2 linked regions of the Canis lupus familiaris genome follow. The protein of the gene in region 2 interacts with the protein of the main gene of each other region in a biochemical or structural test. Links are inferred from orthologs where the notes say so. Each region holds a gene or a part of one and is shown on either strand. Other genes may lie near its edges.

The links. The genes of interacting proteins can lie anywhere in the genome.
Region 1: the proteins of MED1 (region 2) and THRA form a complex in vitro, tested with the Homo sapiens proteins (6 studies listed by BioGRID, with this or other methods). The link is inferred for Canis lupus familiaris from reciprocal best matches to the Homo sapiens genes MED1 and THRA.

The regions. Positions count from the first base shown.
Region 1 is NC_049230.1:22,422,777-22,426,407, forward strand, and holds part of THRA (thyroid hormone receptor alpha), read right to left. Parts: intron 3,306-3,631; coding exon 3,100-3,305; intron 2,083-3,099; coding exon 1,936-2,082; intron 1,337-1,935; coding exon 1,078-1,336; intron 452-1,077; coding exon 201-451; 3' UTR 1-200.
Region 2 is NC_049230.1:22,939,913-22,944,282, forward strand, and holds the start of MED1 (mediator of RNA polymerase II transcription subunit 1), read left to right. Parts: upstream 1-1,557; 5' UTR 1,558-1,772; coding exon 1,773-1,797; intron 1,798-3,859; coding exon 3,860-3,966; intron 3,967-4,370. UniProt on the Homo sapiens protein: Component of the Mediator complex, a coactivator involved in the regulated transcription of nearly all RNA polymerase II-dependent genes.

The sequences.
Region 1 (3,631 bases), about 520 kb from region 2:
GTCCTTTTCATAGCAAGTTCATGTGTTTGCCCTGTCCCAGGGCTGGAGGTTCTGAGGAGGGATGGGCAGTGCGGGGAGGGGGGTGTGTGGGAGAGGAAGGAGAGAGGAGGGGTGGGGGGCCTCCCGCAGCCCCCCAGCTCTGCCCTTTCTCTCCACGCTCCTCCCCACCAGCTCCGCACACCCTCTGGCCGCCTGAGGCTTTAGACTTCCTGATCCTCAAAGACCTCGAGGAAGAGTGGGGGGAACAGTTCGGTGGGGCACTCGACTTTCATGTGGAGGAAGCGGCTGGCGTGGCAGGCCCCGATCATGCGGAGGTCAGTCACCTTCATCAGCAGCTTGGGCCAGAAGTGCGGAATGTTGTGTTTGCGGTGGTTGACGTAGTGCTCAAACGCCAGCAGGTATGCCTCCTGACTCTTCTCGATCTTGTCCACACACAGCAGGCCCGAGCGATCTGTGGGGAAGGAGGGACGTGCAGGGGGAGGGGGGGGTTGAGCCAGCGAAGGGAGACTGAGGCAGAGGAGCCAGGGTGGGGGAGGGGTGAGAAACCCGCTGTAGTACATGCACTGGAGCTGGAGCCAGAGGCCCAGCTGAGGAGGAGGCTGGGGTGCTGGGGGCTTGAAGAGGTAAGGAATAAAGACCACAGAGGGGCTGAGAGGTGGGAAGGGAGGGGAAACCTGGAGACAGGGCTGGTGGGAGGAAGTGCAGAGGGGAGGAGGCACAGGGAGAGGGGACTGGGCACTGAGGAGGGATGAGGGATAGAAGGTGGCTGGGGGTGGGGAACAAAGGCGAATCCAGGCAACAGAACGGATGGGGGGGGGGGCGGCAGAGAGAAAGAACGGGGTAAACATGGGACGAGGAGCAGAGGAGGCATGGGCAGGCAACAGATGGGCCTGGACATCAGAACCCAGGGGGTATTGGTGACAGAGCAGAGCACAGGGGACAGAGAATGGGCTCAGTGACAAAGGGAAGCAGAGAAAAACTATAGGGGTCAGGGAAGAAGAGTGTGATGTGCCCAGGGCCCACCCAACCTCTGGGCCCCTGGAAGCTTCTGAGCCCTCCCAGCTGGTAGGCAGGTACCTGTTGACATTAGCAGCACAGCCTGCAGCAGAGCCACTTCTGTATCATCCAGGTTAAAGGCAGAAAGTGACTTGCCCAGTTCAAAGATGGCGTCAGAGACCACGCCCAGGCCGCCATTCTTGAGCTGCTCCCGCTTGACGGCCATCTCCCCGCTCAGCGTCAGGGTGTCGCTCTCTGGGTCATAGCGGACAGCCGCCCGCAGGGACATGATCTCCATGCAGCACCCCTTCAGGAGGATGATCTGGTCTTCGCAAGGCAGCTGCAGAGTGGCAGGGCCACAGGAACACTCAGCATGCCCCTCCTGTCTCCTGTGGGTGCCCTTTGGGAGCCAGGAGGTCACCACTGGCCTCAGCCAGTAAGGTGTACTCCAAGCGGCTAACCTTGCTCTGGGGCCATGGGCATGGCCTAAGCCATTAAACCTCACAATTACGCCTATGTGAGTTACCTCCCATCATTAGCTCCATCCCACTGCCAAGGAGGAAAATGAGGTCCGTGGGTAGGTAACATGGCCAAGATCCCACAGCTAGGAGGGCAGTCTGTGCCCAGAGGTGGTGCTCACGCTGCTATAGCCAGGATGGCTATGTAGATGTGGGGGGAGAGGGGTAGGGAAGGGTTGGCGAGGCTGGGGACTTGGAGCCTTTGGTTCCTTAGGCATGGGCTGTGTGTGTGTGTGTGTGTGTGTGTGTGTGTGTGTTATAGGCACTGGGTATGTGTGTGTGTTAGCTGTGTGCTGACCTACAGGAATCGCTCCCTGTCCAGAGAACCTCAGATGAGCATGTGCTGACACCAAGTGACCTAGGGAGCAGCCCCAGGTTTTCTTCCAGTGTGGCACCATGCCTCTTCCCATCAGCTACTCACCTCGGAGAACATGGGCAGTTTTTTGGCAAAGTCCACCACACGGGTGATGGCCGGGGTGATGATCTTGGTAAACTCGCTGAAGGCCTCTAGGTCCACCTTGTCTCCATCCGGCATGGAGACGATGGGTGACTGGCCGATGTCATCCGGCTAAAGAAGAAGAAGGGGTCAGCTGGGGCTGCAGACCCCTTTCAACCTCTCACTGAGGCTGCCTGCCCACCAGGGGGAGCTCCAAGGCAGGTTGGGGAAGAGGGGCCACCAGTATGTGGGGAAGGCCCCATCCAGGACCTAAGGCTTCTCCTTCACCTTGGGGCAGGAAACAGAGCAGAGCCAGAGCTCCAAGTCGGCTAATAATAACAATGATCATAACAGTAGTAGAAATAATAACATAATAATAGAAGCTATGTTTACTGAATATTTAATACAGGAGACACTAGGCTATGTTTTATATATCTCATTTAACCTTATGAGGAGGATGTTCTACTTGCCACCATTTCACAGATGAGAAAACTGAGGCATAGTGTAGCTAAGTAATAAGCCCAAGTAATAAGCCAAGTAATAAGCACATGACTAGTAAGTGGCAGAACCAGGATTAAAACTCAGGCAGTCTGACTCCTGACCATTATACACACATATGCTTGGTCTTGCAGCCTGTGCTCTGAACAGTGTACTGTTCCACCCACTGGCACACTCCACCGGGAACCAGACACCAGTTTTCTGCCTTTACTCACCATATACAACCAACTGTCCATCTCTTCCCTAACTGACCATTCACTGAGCACTCTGTTTTGCCAGGGCCTAACGCAATGCCTGGCACCCATCAGGGGCCCCGAAATGCTGTTACATAACTGAGTCTTCACCCTCTCTTCTCAGTCACTGTGGGCAGGGAAAAGAGCAGCAGCTACCCATGCTCTCTGGAAATTCAAGGAGGAAGGCCAGGTCCTGTCCTCATGGAGCCCCCCAGTCTGATGAAATAGGCCATGCTCAGACAGCAGCAACATATACTCAGGTGTATGAGTCAGGATTGCCAAATTGTAGAGAGCATCAGCTTTGGGTCAGATTAAACTAAGAAGGCTTCCTGAAGGAGGCAAGACTCTGAACTCACTCTCCCTCCTGGTCACCTGGCTGCAGCTCTTGGGGGGGGGGCGGGGAGGCCTCTCTCCTTACCAGGAATTTCCGCCTCTGCTTCCAGTGGCTACCCTGGGCATTCGTGCTGCGATGGGCCTCTGTGGCAACATGGATCAGGTCCCACTCTTCGGGAGTGGGCTCTGGTCGCTGCTGCAGTGATCGGATCATTTCCTCCTTCCGTCGTCTCTCCCGGTTCTGCTCAATCAGCTTGCGCTTGGCCACCCGCTTTGAGTCATCTAGAACCACTATCAACAGCAGAGAGACACGATGCCCTTTGCATGGCACTCTCCACAACCTGTTCAGAAACTACTCCTCCCAATGTACAGGTTGGGAAACTGAGGGCCAGAAAGGTTAAGTGACTTCCCAAATCACCTAGCAGTTGGGTGGCGCAGTCTGGGATCATGAGAATCAGTGCGACCACATCAATGCTAATTTGAGCTGATCCAGGTGACTCGCATATCCTGGTCTAAAGGGTTCCAATAAGTGGTTACTAGAAGACCCTGCTATTTGATCTCTAGCCGATGCGATGCAAGATGCCCTCTCTCACCCAGAAGTGGGGTACCTTCTCTTA
Region 2 (4,370 bases):
GTGGAAATTCAGAAATGAAGGCAAAATCCTGCCCCCAAGAAACTCCCTATGTAGTGACTAAAGGAATGAGGGTAAAGAGGAAAAGATAAAGAATAAAATTTGAATTCTACTTCAGAGAGCATAGTTATAGATATCTTTGTGGTAGTAAATGTGTTCCCAGACGCTTCCAAAGATTTGTTCTTGGGATCCCTGGGTGGCGCAGCGGTTTGGCGCCTGCCTTTGGCCCAGGGCACGACCCTGGAGACCCAGGATCGAATCCCACGTCGGGCTCCCGCTGGATGGAGCCTGCTTCTCCCTCTGCCTGTGTCTCTGCCTCTCTCTCTCTGTGTGACTATCATAAAAACAAACAAACAAACAAAAAAAAACACAAAGATTTGTTCTTATTAAATTTACACTGCTGTGCCTGCTCACCTGAACTGCAGTTGTCTGCTGGAATGGCTTTGGAGGATGTTTGAATAGCATTTTTGAAATATGGAGAAATTCTGAGACTGAAAAGCCAGTAGAAATCCACTACTTAGTATCCTTACAGTGAACTAGGTAAAATCCAACTTTACAGCGGCTATTTTCAAAGATTTGTTTGGAAAAAGAACATTAAAAACAAAACAAAACAAAACCAAGCCTTAACTACGTCGAGAACTTCCACCAAATGCTAGTTTTGTATTTTAGCCTGGTCCTTCAGTTCCGGTGGCCATAAACTTCTCATCATTACTCCAAATTTCTCCACGTGAGGAGACAGGACTGCGCATTCTTTGTATTGTGGAGTACAAGCTAAACTGCTTGTTTTACTATGATTACCAGATAGGAACACTAGTAGTCATACACCTTAGTATATAATTAAAAGCATCCGATGCTCTGACTGCTACAAGTTTACCTTAATTTAAAACCTCCCAGATCTTAAAAAACAAAAAACAAAAAACCCCAAAACCAAAAAACCGTTATTGCGTGAGAAATATTTCTGAAATTTGAGGAAAAAATTGGGAAATGGGAATTAAGTGAATTGGGCTGGCTTGGAACGCTGTGTTACAAAGACCCAATACCATTTTCATGTTTCCACCTAGTATCTCAATAAAGCGTATTATCTTTTATTTTATATTATTTTATTTATTCACGAGAGACAGAGAGAGAGAGAGAGAGAGACAGAGACAGAGACACAGGCAGAGGGAGAAGTCGGCTCCATGCAGGGAGCCCGACATGGGACTCGATCCCAGGTCTCCAGGATCATGCCCCAGGCTGAAGACGGCGCTAAACCGCTGAGCCACCCGGGCTGCCCAGCGTATTATCTTCAACAAAATATTTCTGGTACCTATATTCTTTGAAATGCTAGTCAGTAAAGAGATCCCAGGATTTTAATTTACGAACTCCTTTGCCACTTGGAAGCGAGGTTGAGCGCCAGCAGACGGCAAACACGGTACTCGAGAGCAGTAAGTAAACCTTCAGGTGACCGAAAGCTAAGGGAAGGCGTGATTAGAAGAATCTCGCGAGAAGCACTGCATTCACTATTTTTCGCGATATTTTGGTGCCCAGCCTTTTTCCTATCTCTCGCAGGATCACGGTTAATCTCGCGATATTTGGGAAGTTCCGTTGGGAAGATGGCGGCGGCCGGGAGCGCCCTTCTCTTCTTGCCGCCGGGGACTTCAGACTGAGCCTTCCCGGGAAGAGTGGGGACGGTTGTTCCCCTGCCTCCCGGGAGCCCGAACCAACTTGGTTCCCTCGTTAGTGGTGGGGAAGGGTTTATCCTCTTGTGTAGGACTCAGGACCTCCCCACCGTCAGGATGAAGGCTCAGGGGGAAACCGAGGGTGAGTGACTTGAGGGGGAATGCAGGGGGCGGGACGCAGCTTGGGGGAGCCAATCTGTGAGAGGAGCTGGGGTGGGGGTGGCCCGATGCCTCTGCAGGGGCAACGCTCCTGAGGTCGTGGAGTCCAGGAGGCGGGATAGCTTCTGACTGTGCCTTCGTTGGTGATGCAAGGATCTGAGTCTCGGGTGATGGGGGCTCTCAACTTCTATGAAGGTTTCCTGCATAGCTAGGGACAATCACTTGGGCCTCGGAACGTTTTTAGCCTAAAGTTGATGGAAGACCAGGCGAGTGAATCTAAAACCTGCTTACACCTCGTTTCAGAAGAGATATCTGAATAATGACATTAAAAAAATACAGAGCTGTGTGTCAAATATCGGAGAATGTTTTGGCGTGAATGAAATGATTAGGACCTTATGATTTTAAAAGCTAGTAGTTCCATGGAACGTTACAATGTCCAGACTTACACTATTGTATGTTTATGAAATGCGTTGAATTTCATCCTTTCAATGGCTGGACTAACTCACAACTGCTGAAAAACAACTTTTCTGTGGAACCTTACTTAGATTCTCTAAAGTCCTACACTCTTAAATGCTTCCTTAGCATTTTGGATATAGTTTTGTTAATAAGGATCACTGTATTATGTTTACCCATCTTCTCCACTTTGAGCACCTTGTCTTACGCATCGTTGTGTAGTACCTGGCACAAAAAGTGTTTGATCATTCGTGTAAAGTATTTATCATCAGGCTTCTCAAGGAAAAGGGAGGGGAGTATTTTAAAGGAGAGGAAGAAAAAAGGTATACTCCTTGGGTGCAGAGGATTGGTGAATGTAAAATGGAAACTTGATGAGGCAGGAATTTTGTCTAGTTTGCTCATTTCTATATCCCCAGCACATAAAATCATGTGTGAATGAGTCTTGAAAGTGGGAATTGCCAACAATGTGTCCAGAACTGTAAGCTGGCTGAAACAGTCCCCAAACCGGTTTTCCAGAAGATGAGGACATTGGAGGAAGGAATTTGAATCTTGATTTAGAAAATGTCACTGCGTTAACTCTGATTGCTGAGATTATTTATCTTTCAATGCCAATATCAACTGTCACCTTTTCTGTAATCTCCCCACAACTAATAATGAGATTTTCCTTTTTTGTGTTTCAATTGTAATGTGTCTGTTTTTAACAGCATATCTCATTTTGCTTTCTGTGATGGTTATTTCCACGTTAACTTACGCACACCCCTTCACAGATACCATCTCAGGTGTATTGAGTTTTTGCATTGCCAGTGGTCTCTAGAACAGGTCCTAAGAAGTGTAAGAATTAGAGGAAGGATCACCTATATTTCAAAAGTAAAAAATTTAATAGAAATAAAGCTATAGTTCAGTAGTAAAATAACAAAAATTCAAAAATAAAAATTATAATTCAGTAATAAAAATTAGGAAGGCTGGAGAGCATAAGATCTTTGTTCACTCATAGCCCAGGAAACTGAGGACTTTTCCACCTTTCTCTTAGCTCTGCTAGAAGCTCATCCTTTAGTCATTGACATATTTCCTATCCATATAGTTTTAGTTTGAATTCAAACAGGAAAAATGAAAATGGCAAATACAGCCTATTTTCTTGATAATACTTCTGTATTGTTCTCTTAGAATTACATCAAAGTCTGCATTTCACATTGAAAACCAACTAACCAAAGTAAGGCCATGTTCAAATGTATGCTTTTCATATATCATGCAAGGGATTCATGCATATCATGAAATGATTTTGTCACTAACCCCAAAACAGTCTTGTAGTCTTGACCCCAAAACATGGTTAGAGGTGGTTCTTTTTTTGGTTTTCATTAAAAGACTGGATAGAAATCAGTTATGTTCTGTGGTGCTCATTAGTTTAGAACCCAATTTCTGTGTCATTTTGTTATTAAAAGTAAATAATTTGTATGTTTTGAAGTAAATGGTATTGAAAAATATTTCAACTGAGTTCTTACCAGGTTGAAGTGTGGGAGTTTCTTTTTGCAAGAAAGATTGTGGAAGGTCTGGAAAGGAAAGTTTCTAATAATGTTTTCTGATTTATATCGTAGAATCGGAGAAGCTGAGTAAGATGAGTTCTCTCTTGGAACGGCTCCATGCAAAATTTAACCAAAATAGACCTTGGAGTGAAACCATTAAGCTTGTGCGTCAAGTCATGGTGAGGATTAATGTAATGGATAAAGTGTTATGCTTAGATAATTATTTAATAAGCTAAGCTCCCTTTGTAAATTTTTTTCAAACTAGTTATTATAGGGTATCTCCTCAGCTTTTTTGAAAGAGAGAGAGGTGGGCAGGGAGTAGGTTGGGGGGTCGGTCAGAGGGAGAAGGAAAGAGAGACTCTTAAAGGACCCTGAGATCATGACCTGAGCCGAAATCAAGAGTCAGACCAACTGAGCCACCCAGGCACCTCAAGCCACTTGATTCTAACGAAATAGTATTTTCATTGTATATATACTTCTACTAGAGTTTGCAATTGATTTTTTTTTTTTAAGATTTTATTTATTTTTCATGAGAGAGAGAGAGAGAGAGAGAGGCAGAGACATAGACAGAAGGAGAAGCAGG